Linked DNA regions of Sus scrofa. The main gene of each other region encodes a partner of the protein of the gene in region 5 in a complex. Links are inferred from orthologs where the notes say so. Each region holds a gene or a part of one and is shown on either strand. Other genes may lie near its edges.

Region 1 (3,500 bases), about 55 Mb from region 5:
CTCTTTAGCGAGTGGTATTGGGAAGGTTGGACAGCTGCTTATAAATCATTGAAGTTAGAACACACACACTCACCATACACGACGACAAACTTGAAATGGCTTAAAGGCTTAAATATGAGACATGATCCCATAAAACTCCTAGAAGAGATCATAGGCAAAACATTCTCTGACATAAATCATACCAGTGTTTTCTGAGATGAGTCTCCCAAGGCATAGAAATAAAAACAAAAAAGAAACAAATGGGGCCTAATCAAACTTACAAGCTTTTGCACAGCAAAAAAAAAAAAAAAAAAAAAAAAAAAAAAAAACCATAAGCAAAATGAAAAAACAACCTGCAGAGTGGCAGAAAATATTTGCAAATGATGTGACTAACATGGGCTTAATTTCCAAAATATACAAACAGCTCATTCAACTCAACAATGATATAAGAAACTACCCAATCGGAAAATGGACAGAAGACTGCAGAGACATTTCTCCAAAGAAGAAATAAAAATGGCCAATAGGCACATTAAAAAATGCTCAACATCACTAAATATTAGAGAAATGCAAATCAAAATTATAAGGAGATACCACCACACATTAGTTAGAATGGCCATCATTAATAAGTCTACAAATAGCAAGTGCTGGAGAGGGTGTGGAGAAAAGGGAACCTTCCTACACTGTTGGTGAAGATGTAAATTGGTACAACCCAACCACTGTGGAAAACAGTATGGAGTTTCCTCAGAAAACTAAGGATAGAGTGGGATCTAGCAATCCCACTCCTGGGCATGTAGCCATACAACTGTAATTCAAAAAGATACAAGCATCTCAATGTTCATAGCAGCACTATTTACAATAGCCAAGACATGGAAGCAGTCTAAATGTCCATTGATAGGTGAGTGTATACAGCCATAAATTCAATGGAATACTACTCAGCCATAAAAAAAAATGAAATGCCCTTTGCAGCAACATGGATCAACTAGAGATAATCATACTCAGTGAAGTTAAGTCAGAAAGAGAAGGACAAATACCATATGATAGCGCTTGTATGTGGAATCTAAAATATAACACAAACAGGAGTTCCCTGGTGACCTAGTGGTTAGGATTCGACACTTTAATTGCTGCGGCCCAAGTCACTCCCTGGTCTGTGAACTGAGATCCTCACATCAGGCTGCTGCATGCTGCTGCCAAATAAATAAATTAATAAATTATATATGACGCAAATGAACCTGTCTACAAAACAGAAATAGACTCAGGACAAGGAGAACAGACTTGTGGTTGCCAAGGAAGAGGGGGTTAGGAAAGGGAGTGGGAGGTTAGGGTTAGCAGTTGTAAGCTATTTTACTTGGAGGAGATAAATAACAAGATCCTACTGTATAGAACAGAGGACTATATTCGATAGCCTATGGTAAACCATAATGGAAAAGAATATTAAAAAGAGGAGTTTGTGTGTGTGTGTGTGTGTGTGTGAGTATCTGTATGTATATATACACACACATATATATAGCTGAATCACTTTATGTACAGCAGAAATTAAGACATTGTAAATCAACTTTATTTCGTAAATAAGAGAGTGGCCAGCTAGAAGAGTGCTATAACTATCAACAATAGAGTTCGATAGAAGAACAGAGAGCATGGATTAATCATATGTGTTGCTTAAGTGAAATTTAAGTGTCTTTATTATACATTTTTCTTTCTTAAAAAATAACCTTTAGATTTGACCCATATGGAAAGAATAAGTTCTCCACTTGCAGAATTTGTAAAAGTTCTGTGCACCAGCCGGGTTCTCATTACTGCCAGGGCTGTGCTTACAAAAAGGGTGAGTCTTTTAATACCATTTTTGTATTCATATCAAACCTACTTCTTTTGATATTGATTTTGATAACATAGTAAAGGAGTAGCCCATCATAAATCCTGTTAGTCAAATGCTCTTTTTTCTAAGACAAAATTGAAACTTAGAACTTGTAGTTAAAAGTATATATTTTATTTTTCCCTTTTCTGATGTTGTTAAATTATATTTTAAGCTTCAGGAACAACTTAAATTGTTGGTATTAGCTACTTAAATTGTTGGTATTGGTGTCATTAGTTATCATTTGATTGCTTACATGTGTTGTTTGTTTGTTTTAGGCATCTGCGCTATGTGTGGAAAAAAGGTTTTGGATACCAAAAACTACAAACAAACGTCTGTCTAAATGTATTGAAGTATCTACTTTCCATATGATTTACTTTTTGCTTTGAATTTTCAAGGTATAACATAGATATTCAATTTACAAAATAACATGCCTTTAGATAATTACGTTTAAACCAGGGAAGTAGATGGGTATTCATTCTTTTGCTCTCAAGAAGTTCTGAATGGCAACAGTATAAAGTTTTCTGCCTAAAGGTTTTATTTTCCTTACAAATATCTTACTGAACTGGAATAAGTGATAAATTAACAAAAAAAATATTTTCCCAGTTCTGTATGCACTTTTTATTTATCATTACTCATATAATTTTTATTATCTTTTTTTCTACTTTATATGTAGATCTTGAAAAAGTGAGAAGGAGGTTATTAATATTGGCTTTGAACTTGGCATTTAGATTTGTAATTCTTCACTCATCCCCTTTTTATTCATATAGTTCTTAGGGTCAGCAGTCCCTTAATTAATTGTGGCTTCATAGAGCATTTAAATATCTGAGACCATTGTTGCTAAATAGTTCCTAAGTGATTAGCTCAGACCCAAATCAAACAAAAGTTGTATTTGTGGTATTTTTGATTTGTTCTTGAAGCCAAAGTGCCAGTACCTTTCACATGAGAACAGGAACACAAGGGATACCCTCTATGTGTCCACATCAACACACTGGATTTGAGAAAAACACGTATTACACATTACCTTGAATTCAGACCATCATGAAAGCCAAGAGAACAGTGTGCATCTATCATGATAGATCACAATCCTTTGGGAAAGTGCTTTGAAGTAGAAACTAAACTTTTTTTTTCTTACTTCCTCTCCTTTTCCACCCCCCCCCCCGCCAAATAAATAGACTAAGCAAACATTTTTATTTTTATTTATTTATTTATTTATTTTGTTTTTTGCTTTTTAGGGCCACACTCTGGCACATGGAGGTTCCCAGGCTAGGGGTCGAATCGGAGCTACAGCTGCTGGCCTGCACCAGAGCCACAGCAATGCGGGATCCGAGCTGTGTCTGTGACCTACACCACAGCTCACAGCAACACCCAGATCCTTAACCCACTGAGCGAGGCCAGGGATCAAACTCACAACCTCGTGGTTCCTAGTTGGATTCGTTTCCGCTATACCACAACGGGAACTTCTAAGCAAGTTAAATATATGTAACATAGATTGCTAAAAGACTACTTTGAGGTTTCAAGGATTTTTCCTATGTTGCCTTCAGAGGCACAGGACTTTTGCTTTTGAAACCTGTTAACTTACTGTGGGAGACAGAAAAAAGTATTCCCCATTGCCAAGTACAGTATAAATACATATCACTATCAAATGTGTAGAGGAGATAACATGATGCTA
Region 2 (3,500 bases), on a different chromosome or scaffold from region 5:
GCTGGTGCTGTGGTGACCACAGCCTGTGCTGGATATTGAGTGGGAGGCCTCCTTTTTTTGCTCTGTGGTTGTCACAGGCCTGTTGAGGGCAGGGTCTGCTTCCTAAGTGTTGAAGTAGAAGCCCCCAGCTCCATTTCTGAGCTGTGGTGTGAGGTAGGTGGGACTGTAGCACTCCCACTAGGAGAGGAGCCACTGAGTATCCCTCCGCTGGAGCCGTCCACTGGGGAGTGTGTGGTGTCGCCTGTCACCCATTGTGCAAGCTGACAAAGTACACTCCTTTTGGCGCTACCCTCGACCCACCTCAGTTGTGGGCATACAGGTGATTGGCCCTGGGGTCCCTTCAGGTGTTGTGTTCACAAACCCACCAGTGCAGATCCATAGGTGCCGATCCACTGAAATCAGGTACTGGGACTACAGTAGTCATGCCCTTGGACCTTCCGTGGGAGCCGTGCAAGCAGCCCAGACCCCAGCCCAACTCCACATGCACGCACACACAGCTGCCAAGGCTGGCCCCGCTCTAGCCATGGAGCATGACTGTCCACTCAGATGTCCCACGGGCGCTGAGTTTACAGAGCTGGCAGCTGTGGCACAAATCCGTGGATTGCACAGCCTCGGGGAGAGGGCTTAGGTTTTAGCCCTGCTTTCTTAGTGCACAGCCCCTGGGATCAGCTCCACTTCTGGGTGTGGGCAATCACTGGCACTTGCGTGCTCCCAAAGCTTGTAGAGGTGCCGCTGTGGCTGAGTGCATGCTGAGGAAGGGGCAGCTATGGTGAGCCTACCTCTCCCTTCATGGGGCCCCTTAACAATGGCGCTTAGCTTCTGTGGGGGCCTGGGCTTCCCTGTACATCCTGGGTTGTGGTCCATACCCCACTCCAGCCTCTTCAGGCTGTCTCCACGCAGCCAGCTTCAGTCCTCTCCCTGGATCTGTCCTTTGAAGCCCGATTTTCATCACCTGGCCCCTACACATAGGAGGCGCGTGTCTTGGGGTAGAGACAGCAGCGAGGTAGCAGGGATCCTCTGGGCTGGTCTCTCTGTTCTGCCTCCCACCAGCTGGCTGCTACGCTCTCCTCCAAGCCTCTGAAGCTCCCTTTCTGTCCCAGCTGATCTCCCCTCGGGTGAGGGGTCTTCCCAGGATGTGGGCCATTTCCTCTTTCACAGCTCACTCTCAGGGGCACAGGTCCTGTCCGGCTTCCTTCTTCTTTTTTCTTTTTTTCCTTTTCATCCTATCTGATTACGTGGAGATCTTTCTGGCATTCCGGGGTATCTGAGATCTGCCCGTGTCCAGTTAGTATACTGTGAGAATTGTCCCACATGTGGGTATATTTGCAGGAGGAGGGGAGCTCCACGTCCTTCTGTTCCTCTATCTATCTTGATCTGCCCCCTCAATAATGATATATGTAGATATAGATTTTTTTTTTTTTCTTTTGGTCTTTTGTCCTTTTTAGGGCCGCCCCCGTGGCATATGGAGGTTCCCAGGCTAGGGGTCGAATCAGAGCTGTAGCCACCAGCCTACACCAGAGCCACAGAAGAATGATATTTCTTAATGAAATAGCATGTGAAGTCTAGAAAAAAGTGGCTAAGATATAGGAAGTCAGTCTGGTGCCACCTTTCATCTCACATAGTCCAGCAGGCACAGCTCTTCGGTTTTATTTACCGGCCTTAACTTTCTAGGCTAACCCGCACAACTACGACGCTTGGTTTGATTACTTGCGCTTGGTGGAGAGTGACGCCGAAGCAGAGACTGTGCGAGAAGTGTATGAGCGTGCCATCGCCAACGTCCCGCCCATCCAGGAGAAGAGGCACTGGAAGCGCTACATCTATCTTTGGGTCAACTACGCCCTGTATGAGGAGCTGGAGGCAAAGGTGCGAAGCGGCGGGGCCCTGGGCAGGCGCTGACGGGCTCCTCCCCCTGCGCCGACAGGCTCCTCCCCCCTGCGCTTCGGCTCAGCAGGTGTGGTGGGAGCAGACTCTTAGAATCCTTGCAATAGGAGTTTTGCTTTAGATTCTCATAAGCCTCCATTCAGCCAAATAATGAATCATTCTCTCTGCCAGGTTTTAAACTCTGTACACCTATTGTGGGCACAGGTGTATAGAGTTTTAAGTTGGCATTGTATTTTTCTTAACCTTGAGGCATAACAAGAGTATTACTTAGAACTTGAAAGGGAACAATGGGCCACCCCTTAGTTTAATTACATATAGTTTCCTGGATTTTCTGATAAATAGTATCACAGCTGGATTGCATGTTCTTGCTTTTAGTAAAGATCAAGGGAGTGCTCTTGTGGCACAGTGGCTTAGGAACTCGGTGTTGTCACTGAAGCAGCTTGGGTCACGGCTGTGGCACAGGTTTGATCTCTGATCCAGGAACTTTCACATGCCACAGGCACAGCCAGAAAAAAAAAAGAAAAGTGGAATTTTCAGAAGTTGTTTTGTATAGGTTAATGGGAAAAGATTAATTTTCTGTTTTTGATCTGAGGCTATAGCACATCTTTGTTTCTGCTGTCAGGCAAAAAAGCCTTTCCACAGAGAAGCTTTCAGAGTTTGAAGACTATGTTATGGGTAATTCTTTAATCAAAGTTTGGTGGCCAAATGTAATTTACTTTGTGTGTGTGTGTGTGCTTTTTAGGGCCACACCCACGGCATATGAAGGTTCCCAGGCTGGGGGTCAAATCAGAGCTGTAGCCACCAGCCTACACCACAGCCACAGCAACTCAGGATCCGAGCCACATCTGCGACCTACACCACCACTTACATCAACGCGGGATCATCCACTGATCGAAGCCAGGGATCGAACCCATGTCCTCATGGATGCTAGTCAGGTTCGTTTCCACTGAACCACAACAGAAACACCTAATTCACTTTTGATCATAAATGGAATAAGGTTTTGAAAGTACCTTAGCATATTCAGTGTTGGGGTGTACCATTTTTATCAGTAATAGTAAAATTAGTATTAGTAATAGATGTGAACTTTTTGTAAAAATTTCTCATCCTGATACAGGATCCCGAGAGGACAAGACAGGTTTACCAAGCCTCTTTGGAACTCATTCCTCATAAAAAGGTACGTTTGCCCTTAGTGTTCTGTTCCAGACACATCAGAGTCCTGCCTCTGTGGCTTGTGAAACCATTCAGTGAAATACCTGTGCAAGGCACTGTGAAAAACATAATGAAGAACAAGACATGCTCTTTGCCTCTGAAAACAGCTTGCAGCCTGGTTGAATGGACAGCCTGTGTTAGGTGACCAGTGACTGACACAGATAATAATGTAGAAATGCAGGGGCGGAGGGTAAGCCGAACAGACCGGGTGAGAGAGGGAGGTGCACTCCTGGAGCTCTCACTGAGCATGCGGACAGCCAGCAAGGGTCTGTTGGCCCCCAGTGGACATGTAGGCGTGAGGAACACGTGTGTTGTGGAAATGGTTGACATGTGGTCTCTGCCATCTTTCCCAGCATGAGAGACAGAGATGTTGCCCGAGGTGCCCTCTGGAATAGAGGGGGAGTGTTCTG
Region 3 (4,160 bases), on a different chromosome or scaffold from region 5:
TCACTCGCATACCTCTCCCCCATTCTCAGATCACTCTTCCTCATTAGAAGTTATGTTTCAGAGCTGAAGGAGGCCATGAAGAATCTCTGGTCCCACCCCAACTCAATGCTTCTATCTCCTTGTGCAGATGTTGCTCAGGCCTTTACTTTCTTACCTTTAGAGATGGGGCCAGTCACTATCAGATCTATCCTTGTACACTACCTGGATAGGGCAGGGAGCCCCATCCATCTCTCTGTGACTTTTTTTCCCATCCTAAATCTGCCCTTAGGATCACCCAACATCTGGGCTTCTTGTACCGCTCTCCCACCCTCCTTGCCTGGTCCTAATTCCCTTTATTCCCAGTCACTGCACCCTCTGTCCCTTGGGACTCCCAATCCTCAAGGCAGGGATCTGTCATTCCCCGTGGGAGTTTCCGAGCTCCCCCATCCTGAGACTCCTCCTTACTTTGGGACTCCGTTTCTCCGTGTTGCGGCTCACCAATACCGGGGTATCATACTTGAGCAGAGAGTCGGCGGGGGGGATCATGGCGGCGGCGAGGGTAGCAGCACAGCAGCGACCCTCCTGTCAGGGCAGTGTTTGCCGTCGCCATGGAAACGTCCTTGACATCCTCATGGCCTGGGCGGGGCTTCGAGGCGGGGCGGGGCCAGCAGCTCGAGAGTTTCTTTCTGCTCAACCTTCGAGGAAAGTTCTCCTGCGTTTAGCTTGTCAAGCCTCCTGCTCACCGGGATCGCCTTAGCACTCTTGGAAGCAGGGGAAACTTGAGTTCTGGATCCCTTCGCTGCGTCCAGCTCACGGTTTGAGTAAGGCGCAGATCACTTTCGCTGATCCTGGATTTTGTCACCCGCAAATGGAATCATTTGACTCCTCAGTGAAGGCTGAGGAAGATTCCCAGAGGAAGGCATTTAAAGTTCCCAGGTTTTAAAAAGAGTTTGCCTTTAATGGAGAAATGGCGACGATTTGCCCGGCCGACGATTTGCCCGGGCTACGATCTGTGATTGCATTTCCTTCTCTTCCCCTTTCCTTCGTATTTCCAAACGTAAATGTCATCACAGTCTGCGCACAATTTTGCATCTTGCTTCTTCCATTTAACAAGTCAGACTTTTTTCCATTTGTCGTATAGTTTGTAAATACCATTGCAAATGGTGACATAATCTCTTTTCTACTGCTGGATGTGTAGTTTGTCCCCATGTTTAGTAACTAGTAATAACGCGTCAACAAACAACCTTGAGAGGAGCTTTTTCCCCCCAATTTGTTTTTGAAACCTAAAACTCCCGCCCCACAGAGTCGGGTCCCTAAGGCCCCGCCCACTCGGGATTCTGATCGCGTTATCCGCCGCGAGGGTTTCTGGGAGAGCGCGCACCCGGAAGCGGAAGTCCAGGACTCAAGTCCGTCATTTCCTTCACGGAGAGGAGCGCGACGGTCCTGTTTTTCCTTGGCTCAGCCGTTTCACAGCATGAAGGAGGTGAAGAGCGAGCGGGAGCGGGGAAGTCGGCGAAGGCACCGGGACGGGGACATGGTGGCGGCGGCGACGGTGGTGGTGAAGCAGGAGCGCCTCAGCCCGGAATCCGCGCCTCCTGTCCATCGCCGTCCGGACTCCTCCGGCGGTAGCCCTTCCCCGCTGGCCGGCGAGTCAGGCCGCCCCGGTCACCGCGGGAACCGAGCTCGAGGAGGTAGCCGGTAAGTGGGAAGCAGCCTGGGGTAGACCTGAGGTCGGGCTTTTTGAGAAAGGGGGACAGGGCTGGCACCAGGAGCACACCTTGAATGCTGAGCGCGGCAGCTTGAATTAATCCTAAGGCGATAGAAGTGACCGGTTGTGAGTGTGTTAACGTTTACTCTGATACCTGTTACTTGCGTTATACCTGGGCGTTAAACGCCTAATGCCTGATGGGCAAGTTCTTGCTCCTTCATCTCTGTGTGCTCAGCATTTCTCCGAGTATGGTCCAGCTGATGACAATGATAGTTTATGTTGAAATGAAAGATTTTTCCCACCTGCCTCCAAATGGGGTTATTTTTTCAGTTATCTGCCCCAAGAAGTTTTCATATCCTGAGCCTAGGTGATCTGTCTGATATTCTGGGGGGAAATTGTCTTTTGCGAACAATTTATTCATTCATTCGACATAGTTTTGTCGAGTACTTATTATGTGCTAAAGACCTCATAGGTTATAAAATAATGTGGAAAATAGCTATGTACAATTTTTTAAAATATAAATGTATATGTGGAATTTGAATCAAACTGTAAAATTATACACAGATAAAACTGAAATAAAGAAAATAATGGGAGTTCCCATTGTACCTCAGCAGTAACGAACTGGACTAGTATTCTTGAGGACTATGAGGATGTAGAATTCATCCCTGGCCTCGATCAGTGGGTTCAGGATCCAGCGTTGCCATAAGCTGCATTGTAGGTCGAAGATGCGGCTCTGATCCTGTGTTGCTATGGCTGTGGCGTAGGCCAGCAGCTGTGGCTCTGATTTGACCCCTAGCCTGGGAACTTCCATATGCTAAGGGTGTGGCCCTAAAAAGACAAAAAAAAAAAAAAAAAAAAAAAGGAAGAAAGAAAGAAAAAGAAAAGAAAATATGAGGCAGGCAGGCAGGCCGTCCTGGGTATTGGGGTGGAAAGAATGAGCATGATAGATGATCTCTACCCTGGTGAAACTGAGATGCTCTAGCCCTGAGACAGAATAACAAGGAAATAAAGAAAATAATTTGTTAGTAACAAGTACTAGGGATAGGTTAAGACAGTAATGTCATAGAGAGTGGAGAGAAGTGGTTCTCTGTGAAAAGTCTGCCACTTGACCTGAAACCTGATTGATAAAAATAATCCAGGCTTGTAAAGATCTAATCAGAGAAAACAAGCAGTGCAAAGATCCTGAAGTGGAATTAATTGTGTTCCTTCTAGAAAAGGAGGAGGGGAGGGGATCCGGTATAGTGAGGTGGGTAGGAATGCGGTGGGAGAGAGAAGAGGTAGAGCCTGGAGCCAGAGGACTTGCTGATTGATTGTGAGCGTGTTGGGGAGGAGCATGGGGCCTCTTGGTGGTAAGGGGGAGAAAAAAAAAGAATCTAGGATGACTTCTAGGTTTTTGGCCTGAGGAACGGATGGATAGTGGTATCAGTTACCCTGATGGCAAAGATAGGAAAGTTGAGAGGTGGGAATTTAGCCTTCTCTTATCGAAGTGAGAAGTTTCAATTGGCAGCTACATATGTGGGAGACATTCAGGGCTGAAAAAGTGAAGCTCCTGACTCCTTTAGTGTGATCAGCAGAAGCCTTCACAAATGTGATGTTTGTGTTAGTAGATAGGCCTGATACTTGAAGCTAATTTGTATGAGCGAATGAAAATTGAGATGAAATTTATGTGTACCATTCTCTGAACAGGTCCCCACCGAGAAAGAAAAATAAGTCCTCGGGGAGAAGAAGCAAGTCTCCCCGGAGTAGGAGAAGCCGAAGTCCTCACCACTCAACAGTCAAAGTGAAGCAGGTAAGCGGATTGAGATGTTTTCATACCGGCTCCATCAGAGCTGGAGTGTTGTGTGTGTGTTCACCTCTGCCTGCGGTGGGCTTTTCTAGAAACTGGCTTTTTGGGGTTTTTTTGTCTGCCTGTTTACTTCGTTAAACTAAACCTTTTATTTTGAGATAACTGTTGATTCACCTGCAGTTGTAAGAAAATAATACAGAAGTGGTTGTTTCTCCCATTGGAAGCATTTTACATAATTATAGAACTCTATTCCAACCAGAAAAAATTTTTAAGGGAAAAGTGGTTTTTGTTTTTAATTAAAGTATAGTTTAATGATAGTTCCCTCTGGTGTACAGTAGGTCCTTGTTGATTATCTATTCACAACCAAAATATTGACATCAATACAGTTAACATGCAAAACCTTTCCATCACCACAAGATCCCTCATATAGTCCTTTTGTAGTCATATTCATTTCCTTCGCACCCTTAGCCCTCAATTCCTGGCAGCTTCTCATCTCGTTTCCATTTTGTAATTTTGTCATTTCACAAATATTATGTAAATGAAATCATACAGTATGCAGTCTTATGGGATTGGCTTTTTTCCATTCTGCAAAATTCTTTGCAGATGCATTTAGATTATTGCATCTCTGTAGTTCATTCTTTTTATTGCCGAATGATATTCACTGGTATGGGTTTAACCATTTTCCCA
Region 4 (4,132 bases), on a different chromosome or scaffold from region 5:
TTGCAAACTGTTGAAATTACTGCAAACCAGTGGGTACTATGCATTCAGGATTTTCGAAGATTTCAAACAGCCTATCCTTTTAGCCCCTTAAGCAAGCACGCTCAAACTCGTAAACCAGGTGTCTCCACTTTACAATTAGGAAAATACAGATGTTGCATCTCTGTAACCATGCAAGTGTTAGAGCTATGAACCGCCACAACCACAAGGTGCAGAGCGCAAGTGAAAACAGAGGTTCAAGGAATTCTAACTACCTATGACCAAGTATGCATACTCCCACAGCACATTCCTGGAGCACCCCGGAGGTGTTTGGAGACACAGGAAGAAGGTTCATATTAATCTATCCCGCTCGTGGGACACAGGGCTCCACCTCTGTTAACCAATAGAGACTTCACAAACCAAGTCCGCCCCTCTTTCTGAAGGCCGGGACCACAGCCATGCAAGCACCTGGAAATCGCTGGCAGGAAAAACGTTTTCTAATAATGAAACAAAACAGAACAGAATCCCAAAAGACAAACAAACCCGACTTCTCAAGAGCTTTTCCAACCTGGAGTGAGGAATAGTTGAACGAAGAGGGAGAATATCGGGGCGTTTCAAAGCCCAGTTCCGGCGAGTAAAAGACCTGGAATACAGCAGGTCAACTCAAAGAAGCCGTGCTGCACTAGACGTGATGTGGCTGTCAAGAGCGCCCAGGCCAGCCCTGCCCGCAAGGGGTCCTCAGTGTGGCCTCTGAACCGGTCGGCGGGGCTGGGAAAGCAGCCCTAATCCCGCCGCCGGGAGAGGCCTGAGCGGCCGCTGCGTCCCTAAAAGGCCTGGGTCTCGGCCGACCGCAGACTGGCCAGCAGCTGTCCCAAGTCGGTGGTGAGAGCCCGGCACCAAGCGGGCGCCTTACCTGCAGCAGGTGTAGCTGGGCCACAAGGCGCCGCGGCAAGTGGAGGAAGCAGTCGCGAGCGTTGGTGAAGGCCACCGTCACGGCCGCCCCGCCTCCGCCAGCACCCGCCAGGCGATCGCCGCCCCACATTGTCTGCAGGCACCGACCCCCAGCCGCCCAACCTATCTTTCCCGGGCCAACCCCGCAGGTCGCGGGCGTCGGACCCGGAGACGATCGATCGGCCCCGCCCCCTAAGGCCCCGCGGCGCATCCGGAGCGGGAGGGGCCAGCACGCCTGCGCCTGTTCTCAGGGCCTTTCCGCCGCGCCGCTGGGGGGCGACACGTTCTTCACCAAATCCTCGCTCACAGGAAACGATGGCCGACGGTGTCGATTCTTCAGCCAATCTCGGAACGCCTTAACTCACCCCTCTCTCTTATTGGGTAAACGGTGGGGCAACGGGGCGGATGTTGTCGTTCGCGAGGGATAACACCGGCAAGATGGCGTTGAGCGGCGGGCAGCTAGGAGGCTTATTCGATCACCACGTCCAAAGGGCTGTATGCGACTCGCGGGCCAAGTATCGAGAGGGGCGCCGCCCTCGCGCTGTCAGGGTAAAGTGACTTTGGTTTCAATCGCTATCCCCGGTAGCTTTCTGTGAGTTCCAGCTTCACATGCCCAGCTTACGTAAATAACATCTTGAGAGGCTGCGGTCACATCGATTAACTGAAGAAGAATATGAAAAACGCTGGTACTCAAGTACCAAAGATGCTTGAGTGCTCTTTAGTCTACTGCTAGAACCTCAGCTCCGTGAGAAGAGGGCTGTGTTTCAGTCACTGTATCTTCCGTGTTTACAGTGGTCCTTGTTACATGGTAAACGCTCAGCGAATACTTGTTAACTCGTCCCTGTAACTTCTACCGAGCTAATTTGTGGAAAACACATTGATGGAAGATAATGTTACGTGCTTTAGCTAAAGGCCTTTGCAAGAAGGGTAAACTATTCATTATGTAGAGAGAGGGGCAAGTTTTTAGATTTCCTGTTTTTATGCAAACCAGTCGAAAGGTGTTTTTTTCAACTTTAAAAAAATATAGGATTAGATTTGTCCCAGGCTTCTTTGTGAAATACATTTAATGTGTCTGATTTCTTATAGGTTTACACGATCAATTTGGAATCTCGGTACTTATTAATACAAGGAGTTCCTGCAGTCGGAGCCATGAAGGAATTAGTTGAGCGATTTGCTTTGTATGGTGCAATTGAACAGTATAATGCTCTAGATGAATACCCAGCAGAAGACTTTACAGAAGTTTATCTTATTAAATTTCTCAATTTACAAAGTGCAAGGTAATATGCAAGTTAAACAGTGTCTCATTTTCTCCATTCCCGTTGCCTACATTTGGCCTCCCTCATTCATTTCTGAATTACCCAGTAACTAACATGACCCTGTATTCTTCTAGTCTTTTTAAATGTTAGCCCTACCAAACTCTTTCTATCACGTCATTCCCATGCTTAACAATTTTTTTGTGTGTGTAGTATGGTAGATTAAAAATTGGTTTGGGAGTAAATTTTCAAGTTTCACTGTTTACTAACATCATGACCATGGACAGGTTACTTGACCCCATTAAGACTGTTTTCTTATTCTTTAGACACCAGTATGGTAAAAGGACCTACTTACGGAGGTTGTGTGAGGATGACATGGATCCATGTATAGGGCTTAGCACAGTGCCTTCTATTCAGAAGGCAGTAAACATTAGGTATTGGATCTCTTATTTTATGGACCTGTGTAATTGAATCTCCTTCTATATAACATAAAATTTTCTCCAACAATTAAGTACGAAATGCCCTATCTCTTTTTTCCCTCATTTTAAAAAATGAAAGTGTTGATTTACAACCTTTCAGGTGTACAGCAAAGTGTTTCAGTTATACACACACACACACATATACCTATTTGTGTGTGTATACACACACACATTCCTTTTCAAATTATTTTCCTTTATAAGTTATTGCAGGATATTGAATAGAGTTCCCTGTGCTAACCAGTAGGTCCTTGTTGTTTATCTGTTTTACATATAGTAGTGTGTAGCTGTTAATCCCAAATCCCCAATTTAACCCTCTTCTTCCTTTCTACTTGGGGCCTTGGCTCTTTTTATGTTGACTCCTATTCTTATTGATAGGCTCCAAGACCCATCTTCTCTTGGCTGTTAGAATTCATATTTTCTTTTCTGTGCTACAGATAGCCCTTGTAGTCTTTCTGCCATAAATCACTTGGGTTAATGTCATCGTGTGTTGTTCTCAGGTTGCCGTTATATATAATCTCACTACCCTAACCAATTTGTCAGCTCCTCATGGTTAGGGATATTTTCTCATTGTGTATTTTAAGGAGTTTTGCATCTCTCACTCCACCTGGTACAGTAGGTCATGCAGTGTGACATCTGGATTTGAATCTTAGCTCCAAAAGCTAATGTGAGAATGGCCAAGTTATAAATCTCTCTAGGCTTCAGTTTCATCAGAGGGTTGTTGTGTTAATTCAAGAGAAGCACTTAAGCACTTTGGTCACTGCCTGGGATGTGGTAAAATCTCAGTAAGTATTTATCATTTTCCCTGGGCACTGAAGTGCTTATTTATTGTAGTAATTCCTGGCCAGTCACAGATGTTTAAAAATTATTTGTTGAATGAATACCATTCTCATTGATTGTTATATATTCAATATTTCCTCCATTATTGAATGTTACAATTTCAATATTTTATTAATTTCTTAAATATGAATCCCATTATAGGAACACATTGTGCCAAAAAGGCTAAAATAAGTATGAGCTAACGCTCAAGAGCCATTTAACATAGAGAAAAATCTCTATTTCATAACCACAGATTGTGTACCTCAGGCCAACCAGCTGGATCCAGTATTGGTTAAAGGGAGTCTGGATAGGTATGGATGACTTGAAACCTATTAAGACTAGGGAGAGGGAAAGAAAGGCTCTAAGAGTAGGCACTGGATCAGTAGAGTCATGCTGTCCACAAGCAGAAATTCTTATTCCCTAAGTATAAGATGTATATACACTTGGCAAAACCTGGACTTTGCTTTTTATTTATTTTTTTGCTTTTTAGGGCCACACTGCGGCACATAGAAGTTCCTAGGCTAGGGGTTGAATCGGAGCTACAGTTGCTGGCACAGCAAGGCGGGATCTGCGATATACACCACAGCTGTGTCTGCGATATACACCACAGCTCACAGTGCCAGATCTCCAACCCATTGAGCAAGGCCAGGGATCAAA
Region 5 (4,184 bases):
TTGCACGCGCTTTTTGAGCACCCACACCCTTCTGCAGAAGTAAAGAGCCTTGTCGAGATCTCCCAGTGTTCATGTCTCATTTTTCGACTGACCATCCAAGCCATGTCCCCAACACTGATGAGGGTGTAAGAACCTGGACTAACCAGGGCAGCCGAGCGCAAACTGCAGTTCGAGCAGGAGGTGGGGACTCCAGCTGAAACTGTGGCCTGCCTGGGAAGCCTCGCTTCTTCCACCTCTGTTCTGAGGGAGACTGGCTGCTCTCCCACTGGAAAAAACTGGACTCAGGCACTCTGCAGAGGGGTGGAAAACTTCAGGGCGTCGGTAACGTTTTCGCCCTAACACGTATATGATACATCTCAGGTTCCCTAAGAGAAAAAGCTCATCGCCCCCTTACAGGCGGGGGATGGTAACAAAAAATCATCCCCGGGGTGCAGCCGCCCGGTTCAACACTGTCTGCGGCGGGCAGAAGCTGCGAACAAGACCGCCTACTGGCCGGGCCTAAGGCTCAAGCCCTGAGCCAGACGCTGGGCTCTGGGGTTCCCGGGATGTCCGCTGGCCGGGGTCTGGGCGGGGTGGTAGAGGTCTCCCGGGTGCGGAAGGACAGGGGACGGCAATCACCTGGGAGCCGCAGGGTCCCTGGGCTTGGGACCATCGCCTCCCAACATGGGGAGACAAAATGGCCGCGTGAGGGGAAGGCGAAGCTACTTAAGGGTTCCGCGTCCTCCTAGAACTACAACTCCCAGGATACCCTGGGACGAAGTCGGGAGGTCAAGGAGAGCCCTCGCGCTGGCTATGTGGCGATAGGCCCTATGTCTTCCGCCTCCCAGCGGAAACTGTCGAGAATGCGTTGCTTGCATTCTCGGTCCGCTCCTCCGACCGCGTCGGCAACGGGCCGACGGGAATCATAGTTCTTCGACAACGGAGTTGCCCTTCCCTCGGGCCTTAATTAACTACACTTCCCGGTGCAGTCTCGGCGCCTGCGCACAAGGCCGTGGAGAGTACTACGGCTCCCGGCGTGCCCTGCGACGCGCGCGGTAGCGTGCTGACGTTCTTAGTCCGTCGTGCTGACGTGCAGCGCGGCCCAGGCGGGGTGCGAGTGGCGCAGTCGGAGCCCGCTGCGGCCCCTGAGGAAGCGAGGAGGCGTCTGTGTCGGCTGAGACGGGCGGACCGGGGAGGCAAGGCGGCGACTCCAGGCGCCGAGGGACTCAGGACCTCGAGCGGCGGCGGCGGCAACAGCTCTCCCCCTCGGAAGCGGCGGGCGGAGGCGGCGGCGGCGGGTGAGGGAGCGCGCGAGCCGGGTGGGGGAGGGGCGGCGGCCCCGGCGCTAGGCCAAAGCGCGCGGAGAACGGCTCAGGCCGCCGCGCGCACGCGCGCTGGCCACCCCTAGCTCGTGCGGACGTTCTCGCTTGCCTGCCTTCCCTTCCCCCTCCTCGGGGTTCTTACCGCGCGCGGGTCTTTATTCCTCCTCCCCTCCCCCATGGTAACGGCGCGCGCCGCCGACTGCCCTCGGCCTCGCGCGCGTTCTCGGCGAGGAGGGGGGAGCGCGCGACTCGGCTTCCCGGCTCCCCAGCGCGTGCGGCCGGGAGGCCCTCCTGCAGCTGTCCTTGCCGACATTTTCTCGGCGGGGAGGGGGCGGCGGCGGCGCGCCGGGGGGGGGCGCTCCCGGCTCCTCACCCCTGAGCCTCTCGGTTTGGTCAACCCGTCCCTCCCGGAGGCTTGTGGTCCGGCCTTGAGCCTCCCAGACTACGGGGCGCCGCTCAGCCCCCTCCCTCTCCCTCAAGGCCGAAAATAGGCCCTGGTGGCTCAGCCAGTGCAGAGAAGGCCTTGAACTTAAACGCCCAAGAGATTTAAGACAGTTCGGATGCGTTACTCTCTGTCTTGAAGCGTTAAAAAAGGGAAACGTTTAGGAAAAAAGTCCTTCAGTCTAGGTACGTAGAGGCAGGCCATGTACTGCTTTCTCAGTTTTTCTTTTGTTTCTTTCGCTCCTTCTCTTTCTTTCCTCTTTCCCCGTGTTTTGTTATTTACCAAAAAGTTATGTTAAAGTTAGGGAAGAGGCTGCCAGCCTCAGGAAACGCTGGACTTTGTCTTCATTTGGCGCCCAAGTCTTCTAGTTTTTGGTTTCCTCTCAGACGCCTCTTTAAGATATATTTTGGGTCGAAAAATTGAGAAAGTGTTTTGTGTTTTTTTTCTTCTCCTGAGTGTGTGAGTTTGGATTTCTTCCTGAGCGAGTATTTTCGTTTTCTGGGCTGCCTAGTGTCCACTCAGCTACCACACTGCTCCTGTACTGAGCTTATTGCGCTGTTACTCAGGTCCATTTTTCTGCACACTCCCCACCCCTTTTGGTGCATTTCTCTTCTTAAATACCGTATTATTGGATTTTGAAACTCCTTTCTGCTTAGTTAGTTTGGTACTGTGATGATTTTCCAACAGTAAAAAAACCTCCCTTTCGTCTTTCTTTGCAGCTTGCTTTTGCTTTTTTGCCGCATGCTTGGGTGATGATTTTTTGCATATGCACAGACTGCGAACCCCAGTTTAAGAATCCTTATGTGGTTTTGATGATCTGTGTGTGTTGTTGATACACTTTTTTGTCTATTCGTTCTTAAAATGTTTTGAGCGCCGTCTTGAATGGTGTGTTTGTGGCTTCGTTATTGGCTCATTCCCTATAAGCGTTCCCATCTGTTGTGACTTAATAGATTTTAAAGTGCACGCTTATCATCTACTGGTTTTCCTTCTCCAGGGAGTGGGAGGATTATTGTGTGAGGAGGTATGGAAGTGTGGGTGAATGGTTGAGTTGAAGAATTAATTGCAGATCAGAAGCGTTCTGCAAGGGAAGCAGAAACCAAGTAGGGTATAGAAAGCCAAAGAGGACTTAGGTTTAGAGTGGGGCGGAGAAAAATAACAAAAAAAAAGATAAAAATGGAGGTTGAAGGATTTCATATGCTATAAAGGTTTTCATTTATTTTCATATAGTTCCACTGACTTTTCGTAGATTTAGCTTTATGTGTCACTCCTTTACCCCAGTAGGGATTTTTTTTTTTTTTTCCCTCCAGAGTCTGCAATTGGGATTGAACAGAGTCCCAACCTTAGAGTTGAGGGTTAAGGGGCTCCAAATTGTTAGAGTTGGGCCATTGCCATTTCAGTCAACATCTCTCTCCACTTAGGTGTGGGGAGGGCTTTTAGTACCTTCATCCAGATGTTCCTTCTGGGGGTTTCTAAAATGAAGCCTTCCCTTTTATCCAGTTATATATATTTTTTTTCCCCTCTGCTTTCACTACTTTCTCCCTTTGTTCCTTGGGTTCGTTCCTGGGGTTGTTTCCCTCACACATTTCCCCTGTGAAAACTACCTTTGACAGGATGAGTTGGAGAAAAAAAATATATAGCAGGAGAAAGGAATAGAGTATATTTAGCCAAGAAATTTAATCAGAAAAACTAGGGTTTGAGGGCTCTTCAGAGCCACACCCGGGTTGGGACAGGTTGAGAGGGTAGAAGTTCTGGTGGCAGGTGCAGGATGATGAGTGAGAGGGCGAGGAGGGCTGGAGGAGGAAGCCAGGAAGTGAGGTCCTGGGACTCTTAGGGAAAGCTGATGTAACGAATGTGAGGTACGAAGAGTGGGAGTTTTCTGAGTAAGGGTAGGGGAAGGAATGTAGAGAAGGGGACAGTTGAAACAGGGCAGGCTAGTTTGATGTGTTCAGAGAATTGAGTTGAAAATTAATATTTATCAGGAACTGGTGAGACTTGGGAGCCACACACCACACGAGAAAGCCTGTTGGGAAGGAATCCACGTCAGTTGGGATAGTTAATAGGAAGCGGCCCCTTGTCTGGGAGGTGAGGTGTGAGGGTTATATACAAATCAAGGTTCATGTGTTTCGGATGTTCGTGCTGGCCTTTAGTCTGGGCCACTTGTTTGAATACTTAGGGGCTATTTAGTCGATTTGTATTCATAATTTCAGGGTACTTTCAGGGTAGCATGAAATCTTTAGGTCAATTCTTAGAACAGTCTTTAAACTTGGAATGCAGGCCCTTGGGTGCCACAGATCTTTCTTTGGTGTTTGTTGTGCCCAGTTTGGAGGCCTCAGTTGCCAGGGGTTAGGAGTTAGTTGGGCCAAGGGAGAATAAAAGGACAGTGTGGAGAAATTTGGGATAAATAGTATCTTTGGGGTGGGAAAAGAACGAGCTGCAAACAG
Region 6 (3,490 bases), on a different chromosome or scaffold from region 5:
GGGAGATTGTTAACATTAATCTGGTGCGGGACAAGAAGACTGGGAAATCCAAAGGATTCTGTTTCCTCTGCTATGAAGACCAGAGGAGCACAGTTCTGGCTGTTGACAATTTTAATGGGATAAAGGTGAGTGTGCTTACCAAGCAGGATTTGGCTAAACTTTCTCCTGTGTGAAGGGGTTCAGTTTCATTCCCCACCTGATAACCACAGGCTCAAAGGCCAATACTGGTCAACTGGGTGTGTTGCGAGAGTTACAGAAGTGTGGGGACATGTTGACCAGGAAATGATCCCAGGAAATAATTCCAGTGGCTCATGACCCTGCAAAAGTGTGGGGACATGTTGACCAGGAAATGATCCCAGGAAATAATTCCAGTGGCTCATGACCCATCTATTAACAAGCCATCTCCTCAGGAGCATAGGTACCATGCCCCCATTCCCACCCCACACCCAACCAAGCCTCTATTTCTCACCCTCCTCACACTCCACTCTCATCTCTGGTATATTGGAGAACAAAGAAACTAGCAAACACTGATCTTCCTTGCTGTCCTGTGTCAGGGAGTTTGGGGCTCCATCGTGGTTACATGACCGAGGACATGGCTGTCTATGTTTGTCAGGTCTCCACTGACTTAGTGGCACGGGGCCCTAGAAATTCTCTAGTTAAAATTTGATGACAAATTCTATGAAAGTAAGTCATTCTGAAGTATTCTCTCCTCTGTTCCCTCTCTCTCCATCCTTGTAAGTGAGACATTGGGCTGAGAGAAGGGGATGGGGCAAGTCAGGCTTATCTATGCTACACACAGTCCCTTTACTCGTCTAGGAAAAGCACTGCTGTGGAATGAGCATTGTCACAGGTTGGAGGGGTGACTCTTGACTTGGAGAGTTTGTCACTGATTGCACCCGTATGGGACAGCTGGAGATTATAGGACAGGATGGAACAAGGTTCTAGGCTTGATTTTTTTGAAGGGAGTTACCATAAAAGGAAGGCTTTGAAAAAATGTTTTGCAATGTCGGATAGGATAAATGATAGAAAGTGCTCAGGCTTAAAGGTAAGAATAGAAACCTGTCCTGAATAGAAAAGTAAAAGCTAGGTATTTCAAATTTCAGATAGCCTTACCTATAGAATAAGTCTGTATCTGCCTGAATGTTTTAAAGTAAGGGGTTAATTTGTTATTGTTCACCTGAAGTGTTGTGATTTACAGTAGAAGTATCAGTGTGAGCCAATTCCAGTATGGAGGGGATAGAGCTTAAGAAAAAAGAAAGTAGTCCTTGCTAATTCCTACCCCCCTCCAACTATTGGCCTGCCTTGGCCTCATCCTAATTGCTGTGTCGAGAAAGCAGCTGTAGCATTGAGTTGGATTTCAGGAATTCCTGCTAGCAGCCAGGCCTTTTCACGGTATGTTTCACTGTAAATGAATGTTACAGATTGAGGATAATTCATGGCGAGTCTAAGCTCTTACAGTTTTCTGTGCTGCTTGTGCTTTGCGGCAGTACTTCCCAGCCTTTTTTCACTTCCTGGCACATGTAGAACATGAAGATATTTAAATGACACACTGGGGTAAACTGATGAGGCTGCCTAGTGCAGTGGCCCTGGGGGCTGCAGCTGCCCCTGGCCCCTGCTTCCTGTCTTGAGGGCTGAGTGAATTAATGTGTAGGTATATGTGCAGTGACACACTAGTTGGGCAGATCTGCTTTCAAGATTTCCTGAGAAGTAGAATTAGTGTGAGGGTAATGGATATGGTTAAAACCAAGGCTTTCTCTAGCTGGTTCAAACAGATAGGAGGGCTGTCTTTGCTGAAGCATTGCCCATATGTCTTAGATCAAAGGAAGAACTATCCGAGTGGATCATGTGTCTAACTATCGGGCGCCTAAGGACTCAGAAGAAACAGATGATGTGACCAAAGAGCTCCAGGAGAGGGGCTGTGGGGCTCACACCCCCTCACAGAGTTCATCAGAGAGCTCTGAAGATGACAAACCCACCAAAAAGCACAAAAAAGGTAAAGCGTTAAAACCCTTTCGTGAGAAGATTCTGGGGAGGCTAGGTGTTTGCTCTTCCTAGCATTCAGTGAGCGTTGATAATCAGCTCTGTGAAGGGGGAAGGTGTGGGGAGCCTTAATTGGGAAAGGAGCAGTATTAGTGAAAGGCTAATGGTATGGGCTGAATTCTGTCCTCCAAAATTCTTATGTTGACGTCCTAACCACCGCCCCCTCAGTTACCTCAAAATGTGATTGTATTTGGAAGTAGGGTCTTTAAAGAGATAATTAAGGGTGGGAGTTGCCTTATAAAGCAGCTTGACACATCAAAGGTGACAGACATCCAGCTTGGCTTCTTGGAGGCACTGTTCTGGAGGTAGAGATGTTTTCCTCCATCTTCCTTTTCTTTCTTATTAATTGTGCCCCTCTTTTCCTCCAGACAAAAAGGAAAAAAAGAAAAGAAAGAAAGACAAAGAGAAGACTGACCAGGAGGTCCTAGCAGAGCAGCCAGCCTCCTCTTCCTCACCCAGAAGCAAGATGACGAAGGAAAAGGATGACCCTGGCTCTAAAAAGCACAGCGGCAAGAACTCAGAGAGGGGTCAGAAGTCAGAGTCCAGGGAGGTCCGGAAGCCGCACCCCAGCTCCCCTGAGGTCAAAACGATCTGCCACGATGGAGCAGAGGACCGGGATTGGGAGCCAAGGAAGGAGAAGCTCAAGCACGAACACAAGTCGTCAAGCAAGAGGGAAGAGAGAGAAGAAAAGAACAGGGATAGAGACAGAGGTCGAGGCTCAGATGCACATTACAGCCGGCACAATGGGCGTTCTGAGGGGCATAGTCACAGAAGTCGAAGTGGGAGCCGAGATAAGTCCCACAGGCATAAAAGGGCCCGGCACTCCCGGGAGCGGGAGTCCTCTAATCCCAGTGACCGTGACCGCAGGCATCACTGAAGCCACGGACTGTTCAGCTGCATGATAGAATTGGAAGTGAACTGTGTTTTAAAAATACAATGAAATTCAGTTATGCTTTTGCTATTTATATGTAAAATCTCTGAGGCTATATTCTTTTGATCCCTTGAGTATTAGAATCACTGAGAGAGCTGTAGTTTGTTTGTTTTGCTTTTTAGGGCCACACCCATGGCATATGGAAGTTCCCAGGCTAGGGATCAAATCGGAGGTGTAGCTGCCATGTGGGATCCGAACCCTTTCTGCGACCTACATTGCAGCTCACAGCAACACTGGATCCTTAACCCACTGAGTGAGGCTAGGGATCCAACCCCCATCCTCATGGATACTAGTCAGGTTCATTTCTGCTGAGCCATGACGGGAACTCCCAAGAGCTGTAGTTTTAACAGCTAAATGTCCTGGATTTTTGAGCCCAATCCATTGTCCCTGGGAATATGCTTAGTACTTTGGGTACTTGCCAGAGCATGTATCCTAAATTTGGATTCATAAATAGGGCCCTTGAATTTGTGACCCCAGTTTATGATGAAATGGCCAGGAAAGGGGAAATGCCAGGCAGTT
Region 7 (3,500 bases), on a different chromosome or scaffold from region 5:
CTATGAATTATCTAGGCTAAATATCAATAAGAGCCTCTAGTGGGGAGCTCTGTACAAATCAGTTTTGTGGAAGAGCATTGGATTAAGAGTTAGAGGACTGGAGTTCAAGCCTATCTTTTCTCTTCGTAGCTGTGACCCCAGGTAAGAAATCACTTAGCCCCTTAGAGTCTCTGTTTTCAGGTCTGTTAAGCAAGGATAATTGCCTTGCTTACCTAACAAAATATAACATGAAAAATATTTAAAATGCTTTACAGACTGATGACTTGTTAGGCAAATATGAGAGATTATTCTTAGGATATTCATGAGTGCTGTCTTACTGCCCCAAGTAAGAGTTGTACAGACCTTTTGGGCTTTCTGAGTAGTTTTCAGATGTATCCTCCTGGGGCATCTTTTGAAACTATGGTTCCTGGGGGTGAACAGAGCATCTGTGGGATTCTGACTCTTTGCTCTTTGTGTTTAGGCCACAATGAAGATCTGCCCTCACACAGACATTTCCGTCGTGACACCCCAGATGCATCACCTCCTAGGAGGGCTCGTCATGACACCCCAGATTCATCACCTCCGGGGAAGGTCCGCCATGACACTCCAGATTCATCGCCTCCTAGAAGGGCTCGTCATGATTCCCCAGATCCATCACCTCCTAGGAAGGTCCACCATGACACACCAGATCCATCACCTCCTAGGAGAGCCCGTCATGACACACCAGATCCGTCACCTCCTAGGAGAGCCCGTCATGATACACCAGATCCATCACCTCCTAGGAGAGCCCGTCATGACACACCAGATCCATCACCTCCTAGGAGAGCCCGTCATGATACACCAGATCCATCACCTCCTAGGAGAGCCCGTCATGATACACCAGATCCATCACCTCCTAGGAGAGCCCACCGCAGTTCCTCAGATATCTCTCCTCCCAGAAGGGCCCGTAATCGCTCCCCTGACACAGTTCAACCTAGAAGGACTCTTGATTCCATGGACACATCGCAGCTGAGGAGGGCCCGTCATGATTCCCCTGACTTGGCTTCTAGTGTCCCTCATTCACTGCCCAGAACCAAAAGCAGTACAGCCCCAGAAAGAGCGTCTAGCCAAGCTTCTCCCCATTGGAAGGGGCCAGGACCATCTCATCCATCACTCCCAAAGAACAGCAAGCAGGAGTGTGATTCAGACCTCTCTCCTCCACGAAAAAAGCAAGCAAAATCCCATTCTGGAAATAAGCAACATGACTCTAAAGGTGAGCATTTGACTGTCCATAGGAAGGACTTAACTCCCTAGGCACTTTCTTTTGGGCCTTTTAGTTCCTTTTTAGGTATTTGTGATCTTTAGAAATGAGAATGGAGCATTGGAGAAGTTTTAAAAACTGGAGGGAGGAGTTCCTGTCGTGGCACAGTGGTTAACGAATCCAACTAGGAACCATGAGGTTGCGGGTTCGATCCCCGCCCTTGCTCAGTGGGTTAACGATCCAGCATTGCCGTGAGCTGTGGTGTAGGCCACAGACATGGCTCGGATCCCGAGTTGCTGTGGCTGTAGTATAGGCCAGCGGCTATAGCTCCAATTAGACCCCTAGTCTGGGAACCTCCATGTGCTGCGGAAGTGGCCCTAGAAAAGGCCAAGAGACAAAACAAACAAACAAAAAAAACCGAACAAAACTGGAGGGAAATCATGAGAGGTTGGGCTGAGGAGAGTTAAAAATTTATAGTAGCAGAGAGGAGGGTTTTATATATTCTTTTGTTTATTCTCCCCACCCCATATAAGAATACTGCATATTCATTGCAGAATGTATAGAAATGTATAAAGAAGTAGAAAAAGGTCATACAAAATTCTGTCATTCAGAGGCAGTCACTGCTAGTGTTGTAATCTGTGTTCTTTTAGTTTTTTTTGTTTTTTTTCTATTCATTTTTTATGTGGTCGAGGTCTGTCTAGGCAGTAAATACATATTGCATGTGTAATCTTGTCTGTTTTTTTTTTTTCCCTTAACATTATCTTCCTCATGTCATAAAATATCTCATTAATATAATTTTTGTTGGTATTCTGTTACATAAATTTACCATTTCCTTAATACTGCATATTTGAGGTTGTTTCTGCACCTTTTCTTCTATAATTCTATAATCAACATCCTTATGCATAAACTATTGCCCTGTTCTGGATTATTTCCTTAATAATACTTCTAGATTGATCTCCTGGAAATCAAAGTACTTCCAAATATGTTTCCTTAGAAATTAAGTAGAAATTGATTTACTGGGTCAGAGGGTCAGGGTCCTATGCTTTTAGGACTGTTGACACCTGTTGCAGATTGCTTTTTGGGGGAGGTGATTTGTAGTTTTTTGCTTTTGTTTTCTTTTCTTTCTTTTTTTTTTTTTTTTTTTTTTTTGTCTTTTTGCCATTTCTTGAGCCACTCCCGCAGCATATGGAGGTTCCCAGGCTAGGGGTCAAATCGGAGCTGTAGCCACTGGCCTATGCCAGAGCCACAACAATGCGGGATCCGAGCTGCGTCTGTGACCCACACCACAGCTCACGGCAACGCAGGATCCTTAACCCACTGAGCAAGGCCAGGGATCGAACCCGCAACCTCATGGTTCCTAGTTGGATTCATTAACCCCTGCGCCATGACGGGAACTCCTTGCTTTTGTTTTTTTAATGGCTGCACCCAAGACATGTGGAAGTTCCCAGGCCAGGGATTGAATCCAAGCCACAGCTGTGAACTACTCTGCAGCTGTGGCATGGCAACACTGAATCCTTTAACCCACTGTGTCAGGCCAGGGATTGAACTCGTGCCTCCACAGCAACCTGAGCTGTTGCAGTGGGATTCTTAACCTACTGCACCACTGCAGGAACTCTTTGGGGGTGATTTGTGATGTCTACAACTCAGGCCTGTGCAGTGAGATTTGTTTACTCTTTTGTCCCAAGGCACTGTTTTAATTTTATTTTTTTTGCTTTTTAGGGTCACATGTGTGGCATATGGAAGTTCCCAGGCAAGGGGTCGAATCGGAGCTGCAGCTACCAGCCTATGCCAGAGCCACAGCAACACCAGATCTAAGTCACATCTGCAACCTATACCACAGCTTACAGCAATGTCGGATCCTTAACCTACTGTGCGAGGCCAGGGATCAAACCCATGTCCTTATGGATACTAGTTGGGTTCATTACCACTGAGCCACAGTGGGAACTCCCCTGTTTTAATTTTTAAATTCAGATACATTGTTATCCTTTAGTCTGAGGACATCAGAATATATTCTAGGCCATTTTAACTTTTACCATGCTGCTGAGACCTGAGTGCAGTTTGTTTTGCTCACTCTGTGTGGATAAATATGGCACAGAGGAGTATGTTGAGATATTACATGCCAGTCACAGTCATTATAACTTGAGACTAGAATCCCACATCCTGCCTGTTGGTTTTAAAAGTTGTCTCTGATTTCGATTTTCTCTCCCATGTCATTTGTACTTGTATTTAGGTTAGTGATCGTTTGTCACAGGAGGACTAAATGAATGCTGAACATTAGCCT

What was found.
Region 1: SRRM2 (region 5) and CRIPT share a complex: the UniProt entries of both Homo sapiens proteins name them as parts of the minor spliceosome. The link is inferred for Sus scrofa from reciprocal best matches to the Homo sapiens genes SRRM2 and CRIPT.
Region 2: SRRM2 (region 5) and CRNKL1 share a complex: the UniProt entries of both Homo sapiens proteins name them as parts of the minor spliceosome. The link is inferred for Sus scrofa from reciprocal best matches to the Homo sapiens genes SRRM2 and CRNKL1.
Region 3: SRRM2 (region 5) and SNIP1 share a complex: the UniProt entries of both Homo sapiens proteins name them as parts of the minor spliceosome. The link is inferred for Sus scrofa from reciprocal best matches to the Homo sapiens genes SRRM2 and SNIP1.
Region 4: SRRM2 (region 5) and RBM48 share a complex: the UniProt entries of both Homo sapiens proteins name them as parts of the minor spliceosome. The link is inferred for Sus scrofa from reciprocal best matches to the Homo sapiens genes SRRM2 and RBM48.
Region 6: SRRM2 (region 5) and RBMX2 share a complex: the UniProt entries of both Homo sapiens proteins name them as parts of the minor spliceosome. The link is inferred for Sus scrofa from reciprocal best matches to the Homo sapiens genes SRRM2 and RBMX2.
Region 7: SRRM2 (region 5) and BUD13 share a complex: the UniProt entries of both Homo sapiens proteins name them as parts of the minor spliceosome. The link is inferred for Sus scrofa from reciprocal best matches to the Homo sapiens genes SRRM2 and BUD13.

Annotation. Positions count from the first base shown.
Region 1 is NC_010445.4:93,915,917-93,919,416, reverse strand, and holds part of CRIPT (cysteine-rich PDZ-binding protein), read left to right. Parts: intron 1-1,694; coding exon 1,695-1,798; intron 1,799-2,106; coding exon 2,107-2,171; 3' UTR 2,172-3,500. UniProt on the Homo sapiens protein: As a component of the minor spliceosome, involved in the splicing of U12-type introns in pre-mRNAs. Involved in the cytoskeletal anchoring of DLG4 in excitatory synapses.
Region 2 is NC_010459.5:28,091,372-28,094,871, reverse strand, and holds part of CRNKL1 (crooked neck-like protein 1), read left to right. Parts: intron 1-1,671; coding exon 1,672-1,863; intron 1,864-2,995; coding exon 2,996-3,055; intron 3,056-3,500. UniProt on the Homo sapiens protein: Involved in pre-mRNA splicing process. As a component of the minor spliceosome, involved in the splicing of U12-type introns in pre-mRNAs.
Region 3 is NC_010448.4:93,609,370-93,613,529, reverse strand, and holds the start of SNIP1 (smad nuclear-interacting protein 1), read left to right. Parts: upstream 1-1,360; 5' UTR 1,361-1,453; coding exon 1,454-1,677; intron 1,678-3,373; coding exon 3,374-3,476; intron 3,477-4,160. UniProt on the Homo sapiens protein: Required for pre-mRNA splicing as component of the spliceosome. As a component of the minor spliceosome, involved in the splicing of U12-type introns in pre-mRNAs. Down-regulates NF-kappa-B signaling by competing with RELA for CREBBP/EP300 binding.
Region 4 is NC_010451.4:72,443,479-72,447,610, forward strand, and holds the start of RBM48 (RNA-binding protein 48), read left to right. Parts: upstream 1-1,332; coding exon 1,333-1,476; intron 1,477-2,013; coding exon 2,014-2,204; intron 2,205-4,132. Other genes in the region: PEX1 (peroxisome biogenesis factor 1), read right to left, coding at 890-1,138. UniProt on the Homo sapiens protein: As a component of the minor spliceosome, involved in the splicing of U12-type introns in pre-mRNAs.
Region 5 is NC_010445.4:39,274,230-39,278,413, forward strand, and holds the start of SRRM2 (serine/arginine repetitive matrix protein 2), read left to right. Parts: upstream 1-1,384; 5' UTR 1,385-1,928; intron 1,929-4,184. UniProt on the Homo sapiens protein: Required for pre-mRNA splicing as component of the spliceosome. As a component of the minor spliceosome, involved in the splicing of U12-type introns in pre-mRNAs.
Region 6 is NC_010461.5:106,887,402-106,890,891, forward strand, and holds the end of RBMX2 (RNA binding motif protein, X-linked 2), read left to right. Parts: coding exon 1-125; intron 126-1,815; coding exon 1,816-1,993; intron 1,994-2,408; coding exon 2,409-2,917; 3' UTR 2,918-2,990; downstream 2,991-3,490. UniProt on the Homo sapiens protein: Involved in pre-mRNA splicing as component of the activated spliceosome. As a component of the minor spliceosome, involved in the splicing of U12-type introns in pre-mRNAs.
Region 7 is NC_010451.4:44,148,402-44,151,901, reverse strand, and holds part of BUD13 (BUD13 homolog), read left to right. Parts: intron 1-460; coding exon 461-1,231; intron 1,232-3,500. UniProt on the Homo sapiens protein: Involved in pre-mRNA splicing as component of the activated spliceosome. As a component of the minor spliceosome, involved in the splicing of U12-type introns in pre-mRNAs.